Drosophila melanogaster: one gene and its partner. The protein of the gene in region 2 interacts with the protein of the main gene of each other region in a pairwise test. Each region holds a gene or a part of one and is shown on either strand. Other genes may lie near its edges.

Region 1 (5,978 bases), on a different chromosome or scaffold from region 2:
CATGTTTACGTGGCACTTGATTCTTTTGTGCAGATGGTTCACTTGACTCGCCCTGCAAACAATAAGAACAAGTTGGCGATCAGATAGGTTTGGATCTATCAAGATCTAGATGTAGATCTAGATCTAGGTCTAGGGGCTCGCTACTTACGCGGCTATTCTTGTACATGCGATTTATATCTAACGCTGTGAATTTGGGCTTGGCATTTCGCTCTCCCCTACTTCCCCCCAGTGTACTCATGCTGCCAATAGATCCTCATTAGCGTTAGCTTCCTTCTCGCCACCGCCGCGCTCCTCGTCTTCCCGCTGCGCTGGAGGATGGGCTAGGATGTGGCTGTGGTTCTTGACGAGAATGAGTTTAAGGAGCTGGGATCGCTTTTGGGCCGAAGCTCCTTGTTTCAGTCTTTCTGGTGGGCTGCAAAATACAAAAGCGTAGATAGGCATTTAATTGAGTATAGGTGCAGGCGTAGCGAGGCGAGGCTAGTCAGTTGCAAGTGGGTGGTGCTCCCGACAAATTGTTTTCAACACGCTGGTTATTGTGTGTCCGGGAACTCCTCTATTTAGCCACCCCCAACCGATCCGCACCACTAACGCTTACAGAGGTGGATCTGTAGCGAAAATTGGTTCTTCTTAGAAAGATATTGCAAATAATTTGGAAAATAACCTCTTCAAACAATAATAGGTATGGGTTTCAACTAAACCGAGTTTTAGTAGAAATGCTTTTGATATTTCATTTCCACTGAAACTAAAGAAGTTTCTTGGTAGTTTTCCAACACATGCTGTTGCGAAATACGTTCAAGTTCTTAATGCTTCGTTAAAGTAACAACTAGAGTGTAATTCCATTCGACTACTACCATTCGAAACTGTTTGTAGAATCATTTGGTATTTTGTTGATATTGCGTTTATTACGAAAACGTTTGGGGCAACTATTTCCCAGTTTCGCTCCCCCCTTTGATCCGACACTGAATGCAGGCAATGTTTGGTGCGAGCAGGACAGCCAGTGCCTCGCAGCACACGCAACTGAGAGGCTGCCTTGGGCGGGTGACAGCGGAAGCGGGACAGCTAGATAGATTTACCCACACACACACACCAGCGCCAGCAGCGGCAGAAGCGGCAACGCATTGAAAGAATTTTTTGCGGTGGCGTCTTGTAATAATTGCGGCAGGGGGCGTGAAGGGGCGGCCGAACAATGGCTGACAACTACAGCAACAATAGAAAAAACGGGGCCAGTAAAATCCTCGCAACAAGAGCGACAACAACAAAGGCCGGCATTTAAAATGTAACCAATTTGACAGATGCAAGTGGGGGGAGTACAAGACAATCTAAACGCTTGGCAACAATTCTATGTCTCCTTTTTGTAATAACAACCATTCACAAGCACAACGCACACTAACACCACGCAGGCACAGGCGCACACATCACGCACACACACACACTTACGTTCGCAGAAACCGAGAGGATTTGATAGTTATTATTTAATCGACGAGTGCAATTTTTTTTTTTGACCACCTTTTGTTTTACAGCCGTATCCTTTTATTAATTTTGCATGGCACAGTGGCTGGCAAAGGCAAACAAAGAGGAGAGACGAGTAAAATATACCGTTTAAACAGCACGCACGCACACAGCAATACACTCGGGGAGTTTCGTTTGTTGGGCAGCGATGATAAACTGAATGGAAAACGCTTGAATTTGTTTACTTCGAATGTTTCGCGGTCTGCTGGCACACTTGGCCGCCTGTATGTTGGTTATTTAACTGTTAACTTCGCGGAAATTGATATCTTTTGATTCTGCTTTTCACCGTCCAACATAAAGTTTGCCGCTAATTCTTCTTCCTCGAGTTCTTCCTCTACCACTTCTCACTTTTCGAATGTATTGCGTGCGTGAGTGGTGTGGAGCGCGGCGTTGCCACCTGGTCCGTTGGGATCCAGCCAGACCGCCGAGTGAAACTAATTCCGGGGGTGGCAGTCGCCTGGCAATTATTAAACAATTAGAGAGCGTGCTATTTAGCGATTAAACGGAAATTAACACGGACTCTATGCATCGATGCCGACAAAAAGAGAAAACGGACCACGATGACCTGCCGACGACAAATGCAACGCTGTTTGCGATATAGAGCGGGACAACATGACTAGCTGAACTTCCCTCCCACTCCCACACGTCGAATTTGACAGAACCGACAAAAATATTTCTTTGATACAATGCGTATTTTCTACAAACAAAATCACAGATTTACAAACCCGCTGTGCAATTAAACATAATTTAGCAAACAAATCTCGGTTCCGGCCTACTTCCAGAGCGAGAGCATGAGAGACCATAGAGCTTACCCTTTCGCACGCAGAGCACACACCGCAAACACAGTTCGTTGCTCCTTGGCTTCTTTCTTTCCTTCGCCTTTTTTTTGCACTCTTTCTGGCGCTTACTCAGCGCCCGTTTCGCCGCTTGTTAAAACACGGGACGAAAACAAAAGAGAGCGCAACCAAGACGAGACGTGCCGCTGCTGCAGTTGTTGTTGTTAGTCGCCTTTGTTCGCCAGAATCTTCGATTTGGTTGAATTTCGATTTCGATTTGGTTGCGATTTTCGCTATGTTGCGCTGGCTTTGTCAGCGCTCTCGCTCCCACTCACTTGCACTGCGCTCTCCCACTCTCCGCTCACTCGCGCCGTCCCTCTCGCGCGCTGTCGCTTTTTTGCAAGTGTAGGTGGAAAATGGTATCGGGTGAGGAGGCTTCGAGTAAACCCGTTTGAATTCGCTTTTTCCACGGGTTTTTGCCTTTCCTTCGCTAGGTTTTAGCTCTGCACACACACTACACACGCACACGAGTTGCGTTTCTTATTTGTTTTGATTATTTGCGTTGCGTTCTTTTCACGTAATACGTAATTGTCCATTAGTTTTAAATCGTATGTATTATTTTTTTGCCATTTTACGGCAAGCGTTGCCAGAGTTGTGTGGGTCGATTGGCGTGCTGCCTGACCGTCCGCAGAATGCCATCGTTTTGATGTGTATCCAGCGATATATTAAGTTTCATATTTTCGATTTTTAATTAATGGATAATCGTTTACAGCGTATTTTGCAGACAATTAAAAACGTAGACCATAAATTGTAAGAGAAATTAAAGAGAAATACTCAACGATCAGGGTGGCCACCCCGCAAAAAACTCCTGAGATGAAGTTTTGCCATTCACAATTGGATTCTGTTATCGATTCACGATAGGTGAATTATGTTGTTTACAACGAAAAACTGTTTAAATTTTTTATTTATTTGACTTTGCGTTGTGGTTCTGTTCGCGCGAAATGATTTGTCGCCTTTGCCTGCGATGTCTTAGTCCCGGAAGCGCTGTCTTCCTCTTTGAGACGGACGATACGCTTGCGGAGACGCGCCTGGTCAAGATGATTGCGAAGTTTCTGCAGCTGGAGGTGAGTGTATCTGGCAAATACCAATGGTATCAAAACAATTCCAATAAGCCATCCCATGCAGATCCTACCAGACGACGGCATCTCGACCAGCGTCTGTACCGAGTGCTGTGAGCATCTGGAGGACTTCAATGGCTTCTGGCAGCTGGTGGAGCAGAAGCAGTGCTCACTCAAGAAGGAGTTCCTTACCGTGGACGTCGACTGTGCGGCCATGAAGTGGACGGGCGGTGTGGACGTGGACGTCAACATCGACGAACTGCCGCTGGCGGCTGGCGACATGGACGAGAAACCGTTGGACCTGCACAACCTTAGTCTGCTGGGAAGCGTGCTGGACGTGAATGTGGACAGTGTGGAAGTCAGGGAACCGATCAAGGAGCAGCTGCCCTGCGAGGAGGAGGAGGACGAGAAGCCCTGCCTGCAAGCTAGTGATAGCGAACCGGAGGTGACCGAGGGGCAGCCGGAATCTGAATCTGACTCCTCAGATGGTTATTATCTTAATGTTTCCCAAGGATTAGCCGTAACTAAGTTCCTGTTCCATTGCAGATGAACCCCTGGTCCGTCTGAAATCGAAAATGAAGCCCAAGCGCAAAACCTCGGCACGTTCCTCCAAGGATCAGGGTCCGATATCGCTGCAGCAGGAGCTTGCAGATCTGCTCGACGATGGTGGCAAGCGTCGGCGCAGGAAGGCACCTGACCAGCGAACAACCACCGAGTCGCAGGAGTCCGAGCTACAGGCCGTTCTCGAGCGCAAGCCCAAGGGCTGCTCCCGTGCTCAGCTGGCCAAGAGCTACGAGAAGGCCATTGCTAGCTACATGAGTGCAAGCTGCGACCTGTGCGAATTTAGTGCTCCCTACCTATCCGAATTGAAGACCCACTTCCTGGAGGTGCACCAGCGCGAGTACTACATCAAGTGCTGCGGCAAAGTCTTTACACGCGCTTCCAAGCTGATGGACCACATCCGCAAACATATCAACCCCAAGCTATTTACGTGAGTTTGAAGCCCGAGGGTTCTGTCTGTTGCTACATAGACTTTAAAATCCCATAGCTGCACCATTTGCAAGAAGTCGCTCAACTCGCAGGACTACTTGGCCACTCATATCGAGACGGTGCACAACAAGGTGGCTCAAATCGGCAAGGTGCTCAAGTTCCCGTGCCCCAAGTGCGAACGCACCTTCAGCAGCGAGCGCCGTATGGCCAATCATCTGGCCAAGCACGACACCGATCAACTGGAGCACACCTGCGAGATCTGCTGCAAAAGGTGAGAATAGAGCAGGGTCTCTGATCGAATTGGAATTCTTGCCCCATATTTGAATTAGTAATCTTTATTCATTCCACACGCAAATGAGAGGGATAGCTGTCTACTTATTCCGCACTCACACTGTTTCGAGAATAGCAAGAAAGAAATAATTTTTTTAAGATAAAAAAACTGTCTTGCAAGTTGAGTATTTGATATGAAATTATCTGTTACAGCTTTGCCAATGTACACCGCCTGCGAAGGCACATCCAATCCATCCACGAAGACCTGCATCGTCACGTTTGCGACATTTGCGGGAAGAAGTTCAAGTTCAAGCCCTCCTTCGAGCGCCATTTGCTGGAGCACCAGGGCGTCGTGGCCCCGGCTGTGGAGTGCCCCATCTGCCGTGTTTGGCTGAAGAACGAGCACAGCTTGCGCCTGCACCGCTTCACACACGACAGCACGGACACCGTGTGTCCGCATTGTGGCAAGACCTGCACATCGCGCACAGCGCTCCGCGGTCACGTCAAATATGCCCACAAGCTGACCACCAATCTGCAGTGCACGTTCTGCGAGAAAACCTTCAAGCAGCAGCGCAACCTGGACGAGCACATGGCCATCCACACGGGCCTGCAGCTGTACAACTGTCCGCATTGCCCCAAGGAGTGCCGTTCCCGCTCCAATATGTATGTCCACATTAAGCAGCGTCACGCGGACGAGTGGCTGCGCGCCAAGATGGCACGCTCGCACAATCCGCAGTTCAAACCGGCCGACGTTTAAACCTGACCCCTCACAATTGTGTTTAATCATTATACGTATAATTAAACTGTACTTCACTGGTTTCATTCTTATTAGAGGTATTTGTAGCGGACAATGCTTGTTAGAGGTAGATTATAAGATCTTTATTGAATCACATAGAAAAAAAATATGTAATTTTATGTGGAGCACAGATGATTTTTTGTTGTATGTATGATCCGTTGATCCGTTCATAAAGACGGATAACATCTCCAGGTGTCCATTCGATCAGTTTTGCAGAAGTCTGTCGAGCGAGGATGCGAGTTCTTTGGATATGGCGTCTGGAAACTGGATGGAGAACCTGACGACGATGGAGCCGCGACGGGAATTATTAATGGAATCGGGCAATCCGTAGCCCAGAATGCGGCGCACGGATTTCGGACTGATTACCTCGCCCACGTCGGTCTTGAGTTCCATCGGCCTGCCAAGAAGCGTCGGCACCATCACGTGTAAACCGCACAGAGCATCCTTCAGCGAGATTTCGGCTGTGTACAGCAGATTGTTGCCATCGCGGCGAAAGATTGGGTGTGGCTTGTCCCGGAT
Region 2 (4,363 bases):
TCTGGCCGATATGAAAATATTCTCAGGCCCGAGAAAAACAATAAGCAGGTAGGGGACACGTAATGTAAGGACTGCACGCCCCTATCAAGCGGACAAATTTTCGATTGTCCGGGAAGCTGGGTGTCCACCTAGATCCGCTTTCATAAACTGCACCTATTGTCCGCTTTTAGAAGTGCCATTGATAGTGACCAGGAATCGATTGCTGTTCGAACAACGAATTCCAAACAAAAACACATAGGTAATTTTTCGACTTGTCGCAGACACTGTGTCTAGGTCTCTTTGCTCAGGTGAACCACTTTATTGTCCTAATGAATGACGCAAGCTGTCAGCTGAGTAATGGCGAATTTACGTGGGCACATCTGGACCGAAAGAGGACTGTGGGAAAGATTGCCAGCGACACGAATGCACTTTTCCCTTAGTTTTGGCGCTGCTCATTATCGCGGCTTGGTCGGTTTCAGCTTGTCTGGGGTGCTGTTTCATTTTGGGTAATTTGTGAATGAAATTTGGATAGATTCGGACCAAATGACTTGTGCCTTTTAATCCTTTTATGACAGTTCAAATGCGATTTTCCGATTTGCCTTTGATATTGGCGGCATGACGAGCGGTTTGTCGCACGATCTGGTTAACGGGAAGTGACAGTGGATCATTAACATGTAAAGGTAATGGTTCTTGGTTTTTAGCTCCTCGTATACTCGTAATGGAACTATGCATTTAATCATTGGGGAACAAAATTGCAAGTTCTATGTACATTTCTCCTCATTTCTAACACCGCCCAGGTAATAAAGGTCTTTCTTGTACGGTTTTTCTTGTGTATTTTGTGTTGTAAACATAAATCGTATAATTCAACTCTCAGATATAACCATGATCGTATAATTTTGTGTATAAATCGTATGTATCTGGTAACCACGATCAGCTTATAAAACTGTTAAAGTATCAGCTTTAGTATAACTTAGACGTAAATCCGGGCATCTCTTAAATTTCTTAATCGCTTAGCATATGAGGAAGGATCACTTAGGGATTATTTACACATGTGCCGAATATCATAACCAGTCACGTAGCTGGAAGTGTAAATACGCGTTAAAAAATAAATATCTCAATATTTGCATATATCGTCGAGGTCCAAAGATTGGGTTTGGTGAGTGCGCCACATTGCGCCAGGTACGGCTGAGGTAGTTCTGTCCACGATTGGCTAGGCAGTTTTTGCTGGCGTTAAGTTTCGTTTCGTTGGATTCGGTTCGGTAATGCTTGTTTAAAGCGTGCAAGCGCTTTACAGATCGCTGGAATGCAGGGTCGCGTGGCAAGGGGAAAGCTCGCCAGGATTTCCCTCTCAGTAGCCATAAAGGTATGAGTACATGGGCACGAAGATGGACGGGCCCAGCTGGCGCTCCTGCGGCATGTGCGTCTTCATGTGCTTCTTTAAGTGGTCGCGTCGGCCAAACTTCTTTCCGCAGGCACTGCAAGGATACGGCCGCAGTCCGGTGTGGATTCGCTTGTGACGCGTCAGTTCCTCATTGCGGGTGAAGGTCTTGCCGCATGTGTTCACGTCGCACTTAAATGGGCGTTCGCCTGCAGAACAGAATGGAGATAAGTGAGTGGGACTCTCGGGGTCAGATGTGTTCTGGTCGACTTACCGGTGTGGATGCGGATGTGGCCCTTCAGCTGGCCGTTGTTGGAGAAGGCCACGTCGCAGTTGGGGCACTTGAACTTCTTCGGCCGCTGCTTGCGGCTGTTGAGCGCCTTTAACTGTGCGTCCTCGGCCATCACGCGGGCGTACTCTTGCTCCATCAGGCCCATAGTGAACGGGTCCATGCCGAAGCCCGGGACGGCAGTGGGCGTGGAGGCAGCAGCGGCTGCTGCGGCGGCGGCAGCGTAGTAGAGATCGCTGGCGGCCGACAGGAATGGAGCGTGCTGGTTTGGCGGAGCCAAGGATGCGGTGGCGGCGGCGTGCGTGTCCAACGGCGACGACTGCGGGTGTGAAAAGACGGGGTGCGGGGCGGCGTCCAGCAGCGGGGTGGAAGTGCGGGTGTAGCTGCTGTGGTTCAGGGCCTCCTCGTAGCAGGACTTGCTGCTGTTGCTGCTGCTTGACGCAGAGGAGGATGCGGAGGAGAAGTCTCCGTCGCAGTCGTGGCCGAAACTGCTGCTGGCCAGCTCCGTCTTGATGGTAATCGCCTCCGGCTCCTGCTTCACTGTCCTGGGTGCCGCCGAGGTCGCCGCCTGGCGCTGAGTATCCCAGGGTCGGAAAAGTCGCGAGTAGGTTTGCGGGGGATGCAGGTTAATCGTCGACATTTTGCAGTAGTTTTAATGGAAGGTCTAAATTGCTCTCTCGCGACACTAAATCACTTGGATGGAACACTTGTGATTATGATTTTGGACTTGATTTGGTTGTGCGGAGCTGTGTGTGTGCTGCGAGATCTCGACTCGAACTGAGCTCTCCTGCCCCGACGCCTCTCAATTTAAACCCAGGACTCTGGCTACCTACACTTCGTATACCCAGGCAGTCATTCGTCCTGCGTTCACACACACGCGCACACACATACACACTCACCCGCACACGCACACGCACACTGAGGGTCGCTTCATTCATCGATTATTTGTCTGTCTGAGGATGTGCGAGCGAGAGGGATGCTTCGGGGTGGGTTTCGCTTTCAGAAACGGGCACGGATTCGGTTCGGTTCGGTTTCGAGGGCACAACAATGGCGGCCCGCTCGCACACACACTCGCAGCTGAAGTATATAAGGCGCTGGTGTGTGCGTGTAGTCCTGCGTAGTTTTCCCGGTCCGGAAAATCGAACTCCCGACCGAGTGGCGGGCAGCTTTCCTAACTTGCGCTTTCTACTCTTTCCACTCCGTACTACATATACTGGGCCCAGGCGATCCCAGCAGCGCGGTGCCTCCGATTTGGGCGCAACTTTAGCAGAGCATTTGCGTTTCACGGTTATGTTATGAATTGTACTCACACCCACCCACCGACCATGATTCCCGGGTGGTTGGCTTTGGGCTTGGCTTGGCCCACTCTCCCAATCCCAATCCCACTCCCAATCTTATACCCATTCCCAGTCACAGTTTCCTCCTCCTTCCCTCCGTCCAGACACAGATACTTCTCCAAATGTATAATTCGGTTATCTGCGGTTCGGGTTTCCTGTGCCCGATGTGGCAGCAATTTATTATTAAATTAAGTGCTTGTTCGAGGGTGGCTCCGCGACATCACGAATATGCAAAGTGCGGGCCAAGCAGCTGGGCAGGATTTGCAGAGATTGCCAGGCTTGAGCGTGTTGTTCAGTTGGTACAGTTCGCCTAAACTTTATCTTTATCTCTGGGGGTGCTTGAGAAAAACTTTACTGGCTCGTGGAGGCGTTTGCCCTAACGCGATTCTGGCTGCAGACTACGAGAACAGATACAACATACTTTGGCTGAATGTGCGTTGCTACACCTAATGTTTTAATTTAGAAGGCGATATTGGCTTTAAGAGTTCGTGTTTAAGTTCACAAGTTTTTCGCATGCATTGGTAGCCGCTACAAATTGCTGTTGCGTTTACTTTCCACTCCAATTTTCTGTATGAATTTGAGTTTAAAGGGAAAATGGTACTTAATATTAATACATACCCTCTAAGGATTCCCACGATAGGATTAGTAGTGTTCTGAGTTCAATCTTATTTTCTAGTCAACAAGCATTGGAAGTAAGCCTTCTCTAAATTATGAATATATGCCTCCTATTTTTGCAGCCAAATGTATTATATACCTCTATATTCTTCGACAGATACCTGAAATAATTTCGAAATCAAATTCTAATTCTAATCAAGAGACGACGGATACAGCATATAATCATAAAAATGTTTGCTGCTAGAATTAAAAGAAAGATTTGCGGAATTGAACGAAATATTTTCGTTTTGTTGTTTTTTAAAAGAGTATAAAACTGCTGTCATCGGACCAAAGCGATAATAACTTCCTAAAAGATATCTGCTTTCTAGGGAAGGTGCATTCCGCAGGCCTAGCGCCTTATGCCCCTGTCCTGCCATTTAGAACAAAAGGGAAATCATTGGGATTACGTCCAACTGCATTGTTCGACCAATGCTAATGAGTGCAGCGGCATGGCTGGGTTGTTGTGGGTTTGTTAGTACCTATGTATATGTAGAACCGTCCATAAAACGCGGTCCGCGGAGAACATTTCATTCACGACTGAGCTCATTTAGTAAATTCATTCATAAACTGGGATTGCCGTGAGCAGGGACGATCCTGTGATCTGGATAGATCCCTTGGTGGTCGGGTGGCAGGTAGATAGCCGATTGGGCTGGCTTGAGGGTGGTGATACTGTAAAATTCACTAGCTTATTTGCGTAGGTTTGGACTTGGGCTTGCAGCAGCCTGG

What was found.
Region 1: the proteins of hkb (region 2) and CG2889 interact in a two-hybrid assay, tested with the Drosophila melanogaster proteins (one large-scale study listed by BioGRID).

What each region holds. Positions count from the first base shown.
Region 1 is NC_004354.4:10,471,732-10,477,709, forward strand, and holds CG2889 (uncharacterized protein), read left to right. Parts: upstream 1-2,206; 5' UTR 2,207-2,354; exon of another isoform or gene 2,355-2,944; intron 2,945-2,984; exon of another isoform or gene 2,985-3,057; 5' UTR 3,058-3,286; coding exon 3,287-3,409; intron 3,410-3,470; coding exon 3,471-3,891; intron 3,892-3,949; coding exon 3,950-4,394; intron 4,395-4,451; coding exon 4,452-4,664; intron 4,665-4,876; coding exon 4,877-5,420; 3' UTR 5,421-5,470; downstream 5,471-5,978. Other genes in the region: nocte (no circadian temperature entrainment), read right to left, coding at 1-52, 149-238; CG2887 (uncharacterized protein), read right to left, coding at 5,664-5,978.
Region 2 is NT_033777.3:4,344,218-4,348,580, forward strand, and holds hkb (huckebein), read right to left. Parts: upstream 2,430-4,363; 5' UTR 2,287-2,429; coding exon 1,632-2,286; intron 1,567-1,631; coding exon 1,328-1,566; 3' UTR 798-1,327; downstream 1-797.